Linked DNA regions of Oreochromis niloticus. The protein of the gene in region 1 purifies or fractionates together with the protein of each later gene. This does not show direct contact. Links are inferred from orthologs where the notes say so. Each region holds a gene or a part of one and is shown on either strand. Other genes may lie near its edges.

Evidence for each region.
Region 2: the proteins of rcc1 (region 1) and ranbp1 purify together in Homo sapiens (affinity purification with mass spectrometry; 3 studies listed by BioGRID and IntAct, counting the BioPlex papers as one, with this or other methods). This does not show direct contact. The link is inferred for Oreochromis niloticus from reciprocal best matches to the Homo sapiens genes RCC1 and RANBP1.

What each region holds. Positions count from the first base shown.
Region 1 is NC_031976.2:7,339,796-7,347,045, forward strand, and holds the start of rcc1 (regulator of chromosome condensation), read left to right. Parts: upstream 1-4,216; 5' UTR 4,217-4,354; intron 4,355-5,561; 5' UTR 5,562-5,579; coding exon 5,580-5,658; intron 5,659-5,966; coding exon 5,967-6,154; intron 6,155-6,266; coding exon 6,267-6,446; intron 6,447-6,848; coding exon 6,849-6,945; intron 6,946-7,045; coding exon 7,046-7,168; intron 7,169-7,250. Other genes in the region: phactr4b (phosphatase and actin regulator 4B), read left to right, coding at 26-102, 1,081-1,096. UniProt on the Homo sapiens protein: Guanine-nucleotide releasing factor that promotes the exchange of Ran-bound GDP by GTP, and thereby plays an important role in RAN-mediated functions in nuclear import and mitosis.
Region 2 is NC_031977.2:9,595,556-9,603,621, reverse strand, and holds the start of ranbp1 (ran-specific GTPase-activating protein), read left to right. Parts: upstream 1-5,065; 5' UTR 5,066-5,215; coding exon 5,216-5,230; intron 5,231-5,314; exon of another isoform or gene 5,315-5,632; intron 5,633-6,591; coding exon 6,592-6,725; intron 6,726-6,807; coding exon 6,808-6,965; intron 6,966-7,609; coding exon 7,610-7,738; intron 7,739-7,833; coding exon 7,834-7,902; intron 7,903-8,066. Other genes in the region: trmt2a (tRNA (uracil-5-)-methyltransferase homolog A), read right to left, coding at 50-166, 305-380, 498-620, 1,146-1,257, 1,373-1,488, 1,574-1,688, 1,941-2,122, 2,349-2,457 and 1 more. UniProt on the Homo sapiens protein: Plays a role in RAN-dependent nucleocytoplasmic transport. Alleviates the TNPO1-dependent inhibition of RAN GTPase activity and mediates the dissociation of RAN from proteins involved in transport into the nucleus.

The DNA of each region.
Region 1 (7,250 bases):
TTAACCGAATTGCTGTTTTGTCTAGGCGGCCATCCGGAAGGAGCTCAATGATTATAAGAGCACTGAAATGGAGGTTCATGAAGAGAGCAGAATTTACACAAGGTATACCTTTTAGTTGAAACTTGACTGGCTGATTGATTGACTTGGTCAAAACAGTGAGGTACTGTGTTTTGCTGATTTGTTTTTCTACACCACTCTTCATGTTGGTGGGGTATGGAGTCTATCTCAGCTGTCATAGGCCGAGAAACTGGGTACACTCTGGACAGCTCATGAGTCCATCGCAGAGCTAAAGGAGAGACAGATGAACCACTCACACTCACTTTCACATCTACGGCCAATTTAGAATCACCCATTGAGCTCACATGCATGACCTCCCAAAACCTGGGACTGTGGGAGGAAGACGGGTACCTGGAGCACAGGGAAGCCATGCAAACGTCACACAGTTTTGTTTTTGTTGTTATTTATTTCTCCTGTTTGTGTCAGGGAAACAATGAAATATGTAATACACACTTGAGAGTGATGCATCTTTGAACACTTTCTGCCATTTGCAGCCAACCTTGGCGCTCATCCTGAAGACATCTCCCCCCAGCAGCAGGTTTTAGCTAAAGGAGTTTGTTAGCTTGCTACTGTGTCAAGTGTTTATTTCATACTCCCTCAATCATTAAGGACTTACTGTTTAACAGTCTTCAGGATGTCACTTATTTTAGTCTGTAGACGTCGGCTGCCTTGGCTACACATGCACTGTGTGTCTTGTGTTTGCTTTACACTTAAAGCCATCTTTGTTGCTTGCACCTAAACACTTTAAATATGAATTAGCAGCAGTGGTGATTTGCTACTACATTAATAGACTTGTGACAAGTAAACAGAGAGATCCATGTAGAAACTGATTGATTGGTCAGCTTTCTTATGCATGCCTGGTTAAATGGCAGAATCCAGCACTAACAATGAAACCTTGGCAGAAGAAGACTTTTAGAGAAAAATCTGTACCTTAAATAGCGATATAATGAATTTCCCTGCATTAATAGCTTAAGGATTACGAAGGTGTGATCTTGCCTCATGAGAGCTGTTTGTTTTCTTTAGGTTCCATCGGCCTTAACATCCCTGCTTCCGGATAAAGAAGCACTTAAGATCTCCGGCAAAGAAGCAGCTGCTCCCTATGCAGACAGATCGCCCTTTTGCGTCTCTTGAATGTACTGTTATCAGGGAAAGCCTGGAACCGACTCCACACGAGAATGCTTCATGCTTGTCCTCCATCGCCCTCTCACTACATTGCTTTCACTGAACCGAGGTGTTGGTGGGTGGAGACCAGATGCAGTATTTCTCCCAGACGGCAAGGGGGAACCACGTGCCAATAAAGTGGAGAAGTGGCAAAGGACCTACAGGGCTTACTCTCACTCTGCTGTTGTGTGGTGCCCCTCAGGGACTCGGATATAGTTACAACCTTTAATGCGGCCTCGTCCTGTGTTGCCTTTTTCTTTTTCTTCTTTACTGTATATGGAAAAGCTAACTCATCTTCGCTAATGTAATAACGTAGAATAAAAATGGTAACAATAATGATGACCTATAACACTTCACACAGTAATAATAGACACAAACGGTCAGGAGTTGGCTGAAGACTGGGATATTCTGTTTTAGAGCTGGACATCTCTGGGATATCGTGTGTTTTTTATCCACTCTACAGACTGCTGCTGTGATACGTTAGAGTGAAACTGGAAGAGATCTCATTGCAAAATATTGTGTGATGCACAAAATATTTTCTATTACAATTTTGATCACAAGGGTAGTGAGAGCTTTTCTTTGAGCCTTCTTTTTTATTATTATTATTATTATTATTTGGCTTGCCTGTGTTTGTGGTTGTGATGTGTCGGCCTTTTAATAGCTATAGGAAAAGGTCAGGAGGCTGTTGGTGTTTTAATGCGTGCCAACACACCCAATACTGGTTTTCATATCACTGATTTCTGCAATCCACTGCATGAGCCATTACAAAATCCAGTGCCACCGCGTCTGGATAATCTCTCTTCATTTATACTTTTTTCTTTTGTAAGTTTTTGTACTTCCCTTTAAAGATTGAACATGCAATACATTCTGTAGCCATTTTAAATAAGGTCGTTACGATAGTGTCTAAACTAAGAGTTAAATGTAAGTTGCTTCAAGTGTAGATCAGGGATTTATCACAAAAAAGAGAAAAAAAAACACCTGAAAATGTATAATCGGTCAACAGGAACTCAGTTTGGCTGGAACTTTTTGAAACTGCAGAAATGTTTTACCTTGTCTTGTTGTCTGGCCAGTAGCTTACAGGGTTCTCAGTGCTGTGTGTATAAGTTGATATAGGTTTATCTGATGCTTCTGTATATCTTGTCTTCCTTTGATTTGAAAAGAAATTTTAAATATAAAAGTATTATAGGTTGCTATTTTTTTAAGCAGAACATGAGTTTATGATTAAATGCTACAAGAATGGGAATATGAAAGTGCACCTTTCTGTAAATCTGAGTTCATTTTTAATTGAATGTGGAGCTGTATGAGCTGACAGTCTTCTTTTTAATTGTAAATAGTCTGGATCTAATTAAAAATCTTACAATTCCTGGAACCTTCTTGTGAAACAACTCTGCAACTGAGGTCCAGTAGACCTCTCTTACCTAATGACTGTGTTCAGGTGGAGTCTTTTGTCTAAGCTGGAACGTCTAAAGAAAAAGTGGGTTTGCAGCAACACCTGGTGGCGGTTTAAGTTTTTGCACTGTCTTTTGATTTTAAAAAATTAGCTGGTTTAAGGCCCTTTAGTGTAAATTAGAATATATTTTAGGTAATAGGTTATATGTTAGATTATTGGAAAAGGTGACACCATAGGGTGGGGGTGTCATCATTTCCTAATGATAAAATCTCCCATATGGGAGTAATTAAGCCATAGATAATAATCAATAATCAAAAGCTCCTGCTTTTTCATATGGACTATAGAAATTTATTTTTACAATGGGCCCACAGTAAAAATAAGTCAATAATTATAATAGTGAAAAAATAATCTTCTGTGAATTACCAACATCTTTCAATTGTGTAATTACTGAAAAGTCTGGACAGTGAGCTGCAAGAACCTTTTCTGTAATTTTAATTGTTTATTTATTTGTGCTAATAGATTTCTTTCATTTACTACAGCAGTATGTCTTCATCGTGTACAAAAAACCGAGAGGTATAGTTGAAATTGCACTTTTTCATATTAAATGTGTAGCTAAAGGTCTTCACACTGAGAAAATTGAGAGTTTTGCTAGTTTGGCCCACTTAAGTTCAAAGTGAGCTGTATGTGGCTCACTGTGTAAAGTGAGTTTGACATCCTTGCTTTAGGGTGAGGAAGTGGCTATGTTGTAGCATCAGCTAAAGAAAGAAAGAAAAGACTGAAGGTAAAATATGTTCACAGATCTTTAAGGTCTGGGTTGGACAAAAGGAAATCTAGTTACAAAATATACAGATAAGGGACAACCTAAAAAAAGGTTTGTAGGTTACTGATAAATTCTTATCTCTTAATGTCAATTAGAGACATAAAAGCGATACAAGATGGATAAAGGTGAAAATCAAAAGATGCCCACCTCCCCTGTCTTAATATCAGCTGGTCAGCGTTTTTTTTACATTACATACAGCTTCCGTAATTAGTGAATTGTACAAGATAACAGAACTATTAAATATATAAGGTAAAGGTTTTATATTACACATTCAACTTTAGATGAAAATACCACTACTTTTACATTGTTGTAGGGGTTGGTTTTTTTTGTTTTTTGTTTTTTTTGTTAACAATAACTCTGTTACACTGCCCTATTACAGCTATTGACGTGTACCTTTACTTAAATTCTGCACTTTTTGAAGTACTTGAGGTACTGAGGGTGAGATGGAGCCAGATGATCTGCTGTGGCGACCCCTAAAGGAAACAGCCAAAACAAGAAGAAGGAGGAGTAGAAAATACTCTCATATCTTTGGTTATAATAAAAACTGAGTGTTTCACCAGACGTTATTACTTTTACATATATAACTGATCTGTAGCCAGTTTCATTCACCACAGTTACCTGTTCCAGTGCTGTTACTCGGTTCTGAGAAAGGTGATAGGAGTACTTTCTCCAGCACCAAGTATTACTTCATTTACGCAGATAAATGGCTTCGCCTGATGCCCTTTATACTAGATAGATAGATATACATATATACACTTATACACGTGAACCTCTGTCTGTGTCCATCAGCTCCATCCTCCTGTGTTACTGTCTCTTTAAGGAGGCGGGCGTTCCAAAGGTCCTACAGAACGTAACGTTGCACGTCTCGAGACCGGGAACCAGGCTGTGCACGTTCACTTCAAACTGCACTCTTCAATATTTCACAGGTCAGTAAATTATCACCTCCTACACTTTACAGATGGATTAAACAAGTATCGAGAAATACTGCTCCGCTGAATCGCACGCAGTTACATTGTTAAATTATGTTTCTCGGTTTCATTCATTCAATGTCACGCTAACACCCCAGCTAGCATTGGCTAGCATTGGCTAGCAAACAGTTAGCCGGCGTTAGGTTAGGCTGAAAAGCTTTACTTTCAGTGCCGGCCAACTAACTTTGGTTAAGCTGTAACAGCTTATATTTTCTTTCTTGCTTTCTCGCTGCGTTCGTTGCTCGTTGTGACACAAATATTTACAGTCAATCTTTACACCATATACAACTCGTTCAACAGCCAAGTTAACTGAATGTTAGCAAGGGCACATGGGCACTGCCAGCGTTAGATCACGCAGCTTAATTTAAACTGTCCAGCCCTGTAAAGGAGCTGATGGCACTATCCAAGTACTTCCTTATGAAATCCCAGCGTCTGTCGTACGATCTATAGTGGGGACTAAAAGCTGAAACTGACTCTCATTTCAAACTGTACCACGTGTCCTTATTTTGTGGGCAGTGGTCTCTTGTCAGCATGAGAAGCAGGAGTGAAGGAAGCACAGCTGTTTGTGGGGTGAAAGAACCATTGAAATTGGGCTCCGACAGCTGTTGAACCCTAAGAACTGGTGGGCAGACTTATAACAACAATAAAGGCTTTTTGTGTATTATGTCGGTTTGCTGGCTAGTCTGTAGTGCTGTCTAAGAGCCACTGTGGTCTGGACTCTGGTTTGGGGGTGATTGTCGTCTATAAACGCTTTTGTATTTAGAGAGATCATACTAGTGTAGCCTGGTTTTCTCCAGGTTACACTAGTGTTTTGTTATTGTGGTCCACGTTGCTTTTCTGTCTGCAATTAAAATACTCATCATGAGTATCAGTAAGTAATATATATAGAGAGAGATGTATACTTTACTCATCCCCAGGGTAGACATGCAAATAACTTGTAGGTTAAATGTCAGCTGTTCATGTACTTAATTATCTGCCTTGTGTTGTAAATTTGAGACATTTGTGGTATCTAATAACTATCCTGTTTAGCTTTTTTGTTTCTTAATTTTGTGTGGTGTAAGAATTCTAGCATAGTTTAAATTACTTTGTTGTATTGTTTAACTCACATTATCCAGTTAGTTAAGAAACGCACCCAATTTACACACAACCTTATGTTTTCTTAAAGTCCAAAAGTGTTGCTATCATGCCTGCCAAAAAGACGACCACCAAGAGAAAGTCCGCCGCTATTGTGGAAGATGATAAAGACTCCAAAAAGGTGAAAGGTAAGTCACTTCCTTTTTCAAAACAGGGGTTTATAGAGGGGTAACCAGATTCAGTTTGAACAACTGATAGTCCAGCTAAAAAGTGGCATTGCATTTAAACATCTACACCACTTCTATTTGAGTTTGCTGAAGTAATATATTTCTGTTAAGCAAGTATTATGCACATATGTGAAACGAAGGCTTTGGCTCCAAGTGTATCACACTACATTGTCAGTGTTTTTATCCCCCCCCCAATCATTTTCTTGTATTTTCCATCAAACCAATAAAATTCAATGGTCACTATGAAATTGGTTGTATATGTGTTTCAGTTTCACACAGAAGTCATTCCAAAGAGGCAGGGCAAGTTCTTGTTTTGGGCCAAGGTGATGTTGGACAGTTGGGTTTAGGCGAAGATGTCATTGAAAGGAAGAAGCCAGCACTTCTGTCCCTGCCAGAGAAAATTGTGCAGGTGACAGCTGGAGGCATGCACACCGTGTGCCTCAGCGAAACTGGAAATGTAAGCAAACATTTTTCTTATTTCTCACTTTAAAAAAATGTAATGGCAACCTCTTTGTAGTGTTTAACAAAGAGCTTCTTAGTTCCTCATGTAAACTGTTTTCTTTGTTTAGATTTACACGTTTGGCTGTAATGACGAAGGGGCTCTTGGTCGGGACACATCAGAGGAGGGGTCTGAGATGATCCCGGGAAAGGTGACGCTGAATGAGAAGGTGGTCCAGGTATCGGCAGGGGACAGCCACACAGCCGCACTCACAGAGGATGGATCGGTGTACATCTGGGGCTCCTTCAGGGTTAGTGAACTGCTAGTTAGGGAGCAATCTGGTCCTGAGTGCTGTCTCAGCAACTATTTTTATCACCCTTCCATTACTTTCTATGTAATTGTTTTTGTTCTTTGTTACATTTACTATGTCTACAAAAGTTTCAAATCATTTTGCCTTCAACACTATATTATTATCCAAAACCTAAATGTTGTTCCTAAACATTTATTAATGCTGTAAAACAAATTTATAAAAACTATTTTAGTATATTGTAGTATGTATGCAGTGGAATCAGAAAGCATTTAAATTTGATTAATAAAATCATAATCTTCTTGTAATTCTACACAATGTAGGGAAAAGACTTTGAAATTGCAACTGCTTACTTAATGTTTTGACTGTCTAAAATAATGTCTACATATTACCCTCTTTTCTTAGGATAATAATGGAGTCATTGGTCTTCTGGAGCCGATGAAAACGTGTGCTCTACCTGTTAAAGTCCCTTTAACAGAACACGTTGTTAAAATAGTTTCAGGTAAAAAAGAAAAAGTTTTTGTTTAGTGCTTTATGTTACTGTGTGCGCACTATAAATGAGTTCCTAACAGGGATATTTGTGTAACTGATTTCTTTACTAGGTAACGATCACATGGTAATGGTGACGCTGGAAGGAAATCTATACACGTCCGGCTCAGCTGAGCAGGGGCAGCTGGGAAGAGTGCCTGAACACTTTTCAAACAGAGGAGGCAGGAAAGGCCTTGGTAAGTAGCACACACCTTTTCTGTTTTTGGTGGATAAAAAACTGTAGATTTATGTTAATATCTGATTACATAAACATTTCTT
Region 2 (8,066 bases), on another chromosome or scaffold:
TACAACCACCTTAACCTGATTAGATCTTTTGGTCATAACGTGCACTCACGTAGGCCTGCTCGTGGTGGATCTACGACAGCAGTCACACTGGGTGAAACGACAGCATTGAGGATGTTGGGGAACACATCCTCAGCTTTTCCACAGTGAAACTCAACATTACTTAGACCTTAAAACACAAAAAAGAAAGTGAGGGATGCAGCACGCATACAATTACTAAAGTTTATCACATCAATACCATAACTTATGCACTTTACTCAAACTAAATGCTACAAAAAATAAAAGCGATGATGTTCACGACGCCTACCATTCAGCTTTGCATTAACTTTGGCGTCCTCCACTGCTTCCTGGCACATCTCAATCCCAATCACCTTTTTCACCCTCTAGAGATAAGAGTGGGAAAAAAGGCAACATGACACCTGGTAAGCGTGCATTTGTCCTGCTTCTTGACTAATGAGAAAATGCGCACAACACTTACACATTGACACAAAAAACATTACCTTAGCCAAAGATATGCCAATGGTTCCTGTCCCGCAGCACACATCCAGTAGTATGCTGTCCTGATCCAGCTTGGCTAATTCCCCCACAGCAGAGTACAGCACCTCTGCAGCTCCTGTATTCACCTAGCACACAGACACAGAATGTTAATGGAGGCTAACCCCCTGATGTTAAAACTGGCAAACACAACTGGGACCATCAATGAAGTTGGTCATTGCTGCCTTGGCAATAACCAACCAAGGACACACCATACCCAAGTGTCCTAGCCACCGATTAATAAGATGAATGTATTAAATTCAGTCACTCTAGGCTTGTAGGATACTTTTGAGTTAACCCCTGTATTTCGAGATGTTTCCACATTTTAGGAATGCCTGCAAAAAAGTAAAGCATGGTGGAGTACAGCAATCTACTGCTGTTTGTTAGGCTCTGTGATGAGCCTTAGAAGAGACTAGCTGCTTGTTCACAGCACAGAGAAGTACCGTTTCACCCCATCTGCAGAAGGATAACATGGTGAGATCAGAACTTCAGAAAAGAATTACCATGCCTGCCATAACATGTGTTCACTGATCCTCAGAAAGAAATCCTGAAATATTCTAGTTGCAAACCAGACTTAATAACTTCCACAACATGCAGCTTCTGCTCTTCCTCACCTGGAAGAATGAATGAGGAGAAATCCTGAATTTTAAACCCAGCATTTCTTCTTGAATGCAGCTCTCTCCAGCCACCAGCTCACAGGGCAGATCCTCTGGATTTGGAGATTTCCTTTACAGGCAAAAAGAAAATAAAAGGAGTTACGTAAATAGAGTATTATTGAGATGACATTCAGTCATTAAATTCATACAGATTATGACTTATTGAGCATATAGTTTAGTTTTACCTTTGGCCCTCTCTAACAAAGTACAGCGAGGTCACACCGCTGTCTTTCCCCTCTCCTTCTGTGAAGTACTCCTTCATGGAGTTCTTTAAAGCACCAAGTTCCTCTTCTTCAAGTTTCTAAGAGTCATTAAACAAATAAAGCAAATCAAAAGGGGGAACTTTAAAAGCATGGGGCACGAGTTCAGTTTCAACATTTCATTACCTGTGGGTTGAAGAACACCATGGCCATGGCATGTTTGGTCCTCGTAGTACGTACAGTCAGCTGCTTCCAGTGTCCTTCATATGTCTCTGGGCTGTACACAGAGTATGGAGTTGTCCTGTTTGCAAACAATCACAGCAAGACTGAGCAATTAGTTGCTTTTAGAAACAAAATCATTCGGACAACTTGCTTTCAGTTTTTTTTTTGCTAGCATGTGACTAATTTGTATGATATTTCTCAAATAACATCACACGTACATTATGAATTTGATCATCTTCTTGTTTTGTTTAGGTTCAACTACTTTTTCCAAGCAGCTTTAGTTCCCCAAACTAAATTGTTCCTAGATTCTCATGAGCACACATAATAATACCTGATGAACTTTTGAAACTCGCTGACCACCTTCTTAGCCTCCGGCGGCACGTGGCACGTGTCAGCCGGCCCCACCACAGCACAGGAGCCTCCTTTGTATTTCCCCAGGCGGAAACCGATGGTTTTATCCTCGCCATCTGCACCCACCGATATGAGGAACTCACACTTGTTTCTGTACTCTGTCTGCCATGATCAGAAACAGGGTCAGAAGGATGAGTATTAAATTATATACAATATTTAGAGACATGAAAACAGCTGAGAGCTTGTGAAACAGAATAAACTTATCTATGCCATTTTTCATCTCTAATTAGTCACTTTTTATCTTGTGTGTTTTTTTGTTTGTTTTTTTTAAACTGTTGCATCACCACCTGCCTTTATGGACAAATAAAGGTGACTAGTTGAAGTATACCTGTATAGGAGACGGTCGGAGGGCTTCCAGAGGACAACACATGTTGTTGTATTTCCCTTTCTGTGCAAACAGCCACGGCACCATGGCTTTGTTGGTGCTGCCGATCTCTCTGAAACATCAAGGTTTAAGTTGTAATGACATGTAAGGAAGTCCCATAAAAAAAAAGCACAATATTACCTATAAAATCACACAAAATCTGTATTATATTACACTTACTTGGCCAGCTTCTGCAGAACCGCCACCACCTCCTGCTCCTTCCTCTTCAGCTGCTCGTCATAAGGCACGTTCCACAGAGGTGTCACAACGTTGGCTATCTGGACACTGAGCGGCTCCTCTTCCTCGTCCCCCTCATCTGTTCGTTTGCATGGGGGCGGGCCTCCCGCGCTCTCCCCCTCATTCTCCTTCCTCTTCCTCAAGATGGGGTCTGCCTTGGGTTTGGCCAGCTTGACACTTAGCACCTGGCCCTTCCACTGCATGCCGTGCACCATCTTCATGGCCTTGTCGCGCTCCTCTTCGTTCTTGAAGGTGACAAAAGCAAACGTCTGCCTGCCAAACAGCTTTATTTTGTGTGGGTTGAGGCCGTGCTTGGCCAAGAACTTCTTCAGGTCATTGAAGCCTACGAACCTGGGCAGATTCCTGATCTCCACTTTGTATATCTCCGATGTGAACAGGTCCTCTTTTATGTAGCGGTACACGCCGGGGTCAGAAGCTGCCTGGCTTTCTCCTTCAGCCTGAACATCAGGCTTGGCAGCATCAGTTTTGGCGAGGTCATCAGGCTTCTCCTCCAGGGAGAGGGATGGCGGAGTGATGCCCACTGGGCTGCTAGTGATATCTGCCATCACTTTGCTGATTCCTAAAACACCAAACAATAGGTAGGCCTATCAGGACCTTGCATTCACGGTGTTAAAACGTGAAAAAAAAGTACCATAAAGATTACCAAAGACTAGATGTTGCTGGTAACTTTTAACACAGTGGTACTATTTCAAACGCGCACGCTCTACTCTCAAGACTGGTTTAGGGTATTGTGTAACTTTCAAATAACTGCTACAATTAACGTGTCACGGTGAATATGTAAAACAATGCGTTTATCCTACATAGCAGTACATGCATTCACTGCTTTTCAGTAATTAAGTTTTGGTTATACGGCAAACTGAAAGACTTGATGCTAGCTCGAGCAGGAAGTTACATTCTTCGCAGCTTCAAAGGAACCACGTTGGCATTTTAACGGAACACTTTGCGTGCGTGCTGTTTTTCACTAGCGGTAACATTTCACGAGAGCTCCTTACCTTCCCGTGCCTGTATTTACTTTCTGCTCCACTTCTACCTAGCAGGCGCCGCCATGTTGATTCAAGCACGTGCAGCTTGAACTATGAACTTTGTTAAAGTGACAGGCATCCCACCGGCTTTCAGTTTGTGTACTTTGGTCACTTGGACAGAATTTCTGTTAATTAATTTCATTTCATTTCTGTTTTGTGTTTTATAATTACGGCACAGTCTGGGCAATGGAGTATCAGAACTTTTGCTGTCATTTTACACGTTTATTTCATACAATTTAAACTCAAAGAATCGCGTTAACAGATTTCTTCTTTACTACAGCATTTACTTAGAATTTATAAAAACGGAGAAATGGTTTTGAAATGACTTTTTTCCTTTTATTGCGATATCTCGGGGACTAAATGTGTAGTTAAACTTCTTCACATTTACATTAAGCCCAGTTAAGATCAAAGTGGGCTGTATGTATGGTATAGTCTTTACACAGTTTAAACACATGTATGGAATATTGCCATAGTCCCACTTTTTTCCAGTATGCTATATAGCATACTGGAAAAAGTGTGTTGATTCAGAACAATTATGTGCCAATTAAGAATCGTGTGTGATTTTTTTTCAGATTGTCTTAAAACCAGACTTCACTATGAAAATAATGTCATTCATTGGTTTCATTAGAAATTTTTTTTTTTACCACTCATAACTCTGTTTTCATGCTTTCATTGAGGGAAATGTGTATTTTAAAGAGTCTGTTAATATTTAGATAGGATACATTTGGCTTCATTCACCAGCAAGTTTTCTACTACTTTTCAGCTTTATGCCACTAATATCTCACAATCTCTCCTTTGTTCTGTTGTCCTTTTGTTGTAATGTAATGTCTCCATTACATATTGTTGTTTAGTTCACTTGTTTAAAAAAGAAAGAAAGATGGTTGAGCCTTTAAGTATTTCAGCACTATTTTCTGCTTTGGATGATTGACTGCAGGTATTTAAGCTCATTTATCTTCACTACCTCTTCTCCTTGCAACTTCACTGTTATCCCCGTCTCTCTCTCCTTCACACACGTATTCTGTCTTGCACACTGAAGCCATGATTGATAAATGGTAAATGGACTAGTACTTTTTGTAGCACTTTTCTATGGCTGTCAAGCAGACCACCAGATGTCACAGTCTGGATAAAAGTCACTTCAAGTTGTACAAGTATTTCATTTTACATAATAAAGGTACTACAACTGGTATGCAGAAGTTATTGATCCTGTAGAAAACATGTTAATATATCCTATCGAAAAGTGAAGTGACAATTATTGAAACCGAAGTTTTTTTGGTTTGTTTGTTTATTGGTTATTCTGTTTTTCTTTCGATAAAAGTGGTTACGTTTTTCTATTGAAAATAATATCTCAGGAAAAACATTTTTGTGAAAACGGCTGTCCCTGAGAAGAGAGAGGCGGTGCGCGTGCTGTGACAGCGTGAGCGCGGACATGCGTAGAGAATTCGGCGCGCGAAAGCTGTAGCAGGAAGTGAGAGAAGCTGAAGGGAAACGGCGGCCAGTTTGGGATTTGAATCTCTCAAACTACTCTCATAATCTACAAACATCTACAATAATATGGCAGACCCAAAGGTGAGGTCTATCGTTCTAGGTCATGTAATGCTTTATGATTGCTAGGAAATAACAATTTTGTGACAAACATTGTTTTTCATGTGTCATAATTTGTCAAAGTTTCGAAAGGAAGCCGTGTGCAAGAAATGCCGACAATCATCTTGTCTTTGGTGATGCTATGATCCACTAATTGATATTTTTTTAGTGATGTAAAAGGTAACGGAACGCCAATGGACTTATGAAAATGCACAGTGTAACCGTTGTAAAATTTTCCACTCTTAACACTTCCGTTACAGTTCACGAGCTCAGTAATTCAAAGTGTCCAGCCAGCAAACGTGTTAACATTAGCTTCATACTGTGAACATTAGCATAGGGAGGTGATGTGCGAAAGAACATTAGTGCTTCTACCAGACGATCACAACGGTCAGTTTTTTAAACGGGGTATTTTTCAGTTAGTATACTTCTCACTAGCTCAGGGCAACGAGGTTAGCTAGGTTGCTTGCCTTTGTCTGCCAAGCACAATACTTGCTAACATTAGTTAGCTAGTGTTAGCGCTATAGCAGGGCGCTGTTTACTGTCTGTTAGCAATGACGGTGTTACATTGAATAGACTGGCCGAAAATCACACAAGTTAATGAAAAAATACGGCGGTTGTGCTGAGCAAAATGCACAGAGGTGCAAGAAAAGAGAAAGTCCGATTGGTAGCTCCGGGCTAGCCGGCTAGTGAAAGGCCTGTGTTTCTAGCTAGGCAAGTTCACAACGAGTTGTCTTAGGAAAAAATAAAGTTGGATAAGTATTTGATGACAATAATAAAGTAAAAGCTACAACTTTAGCAAAGTTTTACAGTATGCGTCTAAATATCCAACACAGTGACAGCATTAATTGAAATATGGTGGTACTGATTTTTATTTAATAATGTCAGTCATGTTAATGTTAGGATACCTGTATTAGAAAAGACTTAAGCGATATATTGGGTTAGTGCTAACTTGCTATGCGGGTAGCCAGTGTACTTGCAAACAAAGCTAGCAGCAGGTAAGAATAAAGTGTCCCTTTAATAATTAGTTAATTGATGCTTATAATAGCTCAGGTCGATTTTATCACTTAAGTCTGGTTGACCAATGGTTTTAATAGTTAGCATCTTTATTCTCTTTAACTTTTTAATATTAAATACGTTTGTTGTCTATCAGTTTTGTATTTGAGAGCCTTTGGATAAGTGGAAGAAAATGATGGATCTTTAACACTGAACTCTATTAACACTAGTGAAGAATTCATCCTCTGTGGCTCATTTGTTAGAATTCAAATGTTGAATTTAAAGAATGACATTAAAACCATGTAGTTTCTTGGGGGGGGAATTGAGTTAATTTAATGTGCTTTTCCTCTTAGGACCAGGAAGACCACGATACCACTGCAGATGGTGCAGAAGACTCTAATCATGATCCCCACTTTGAGCCCATCGTGTCTCTTCCTGAGCAGGATGTGAAAACATTAGAGGAGGATGAGGAGGAGCTGTTTAAAATGCAAGTTGCTTACCATGTGAACACATTAACTGAGATACATTGATCAGTTTCGAAATACTGAGGTGTTCTGCTGTTTTCATAGGCGGGCCAAACTATATCGTTTTGCCTCTGAAAACGACCCGCCAGAGTGGAAGGAGAGAGGAACTGGAGACGTCAAGCTGCTGAAACACAAAGAGAAGGGCACAATCCGCCTCCTGATGAGGAGAGATCGAACTTTAAAGATCTGTGCCAACCATCACAGTGAGTCAAATTGAGAAATCTGATTTCATTGCTGTTCATGTCATGACAACAATTGGCCATATGTAACCTAAACAATATTTCTGAGTGGTGGTACAGGTAGAGTGGTGTGAAGATGTGTTATTTAAATCCTGGGTGTGCTCACTGACTGGTGTGTCCAAGGATTTTTTTTCTTGGTTTTATTGCAAACATTTTCTGATGTACATGTAAATACAAAAAGACCACAGGCCCCATGTGATCCCCCCGTCCCCCTTCCCCACAATGGTTAAATGAGTGAAATCCCTGGTATTAGTGGCAACAACAGAACTATAGATGAGGAAACGAGAGGTTGAGGTGTGGGTGTTGGAGGTACTGGGGCTTGTAATCTCATCCGGTTGTGATACAATCCAGACTGTGATTTTTTTTTTATTTATTTATTTATTTTTTTTTATTTATTTATTTTGTGTGTGTGTGTGTTTGACTTGAGATACATGAGTGTTTTACTCTTCCATTCACTCCTGAGGGGAGATAAAGAAATGGTGCACCTGTGTGTCTAATTCCCTATGAAACTACTAGATGGGGAGGGGGCAAACTACTAGATTTTTAAAACAAATCCCTTTTAGTGACTGTGGTCATACCTGCACTTAATGTGTTCTTGTTAACCACAGTTTTACCAATGATGGAGCTGAAGCCCAATGCTGGCAGTGACAGAGCATGGGTGTGGAACACACTAGCTGATTATGCAGATGAATGCCCCAAACCCGAACTTCTGGCAATCCGCTTTTTAAATGCTGAAAGTAAGTATTTAGGTACCCACTTCAACATTACACATCAATTCTCCCAGAGCTTTTTAACTTGGATTTTAAATTGTTACATTATGTTCTGTTTACAGATGCTCAGAAGTTCAAGGTGAAGTTTGATGAGTGCAAGGAGGAAGTCAGAAAACATCTAGAGCAAACGGGTACATGAAGCCTAAACTTTTAGGGTTTTTTTTTCTCTAGATAATTAAATATGTGAATTTTCTGAGAAGCAAGTGAAGTAAAACAGTTTTCTCAACATAAAATAGTCCATAATGTAGATCACATGAACATTAGATAGGAATTGTCAGTAATTTTACTTGGAAAC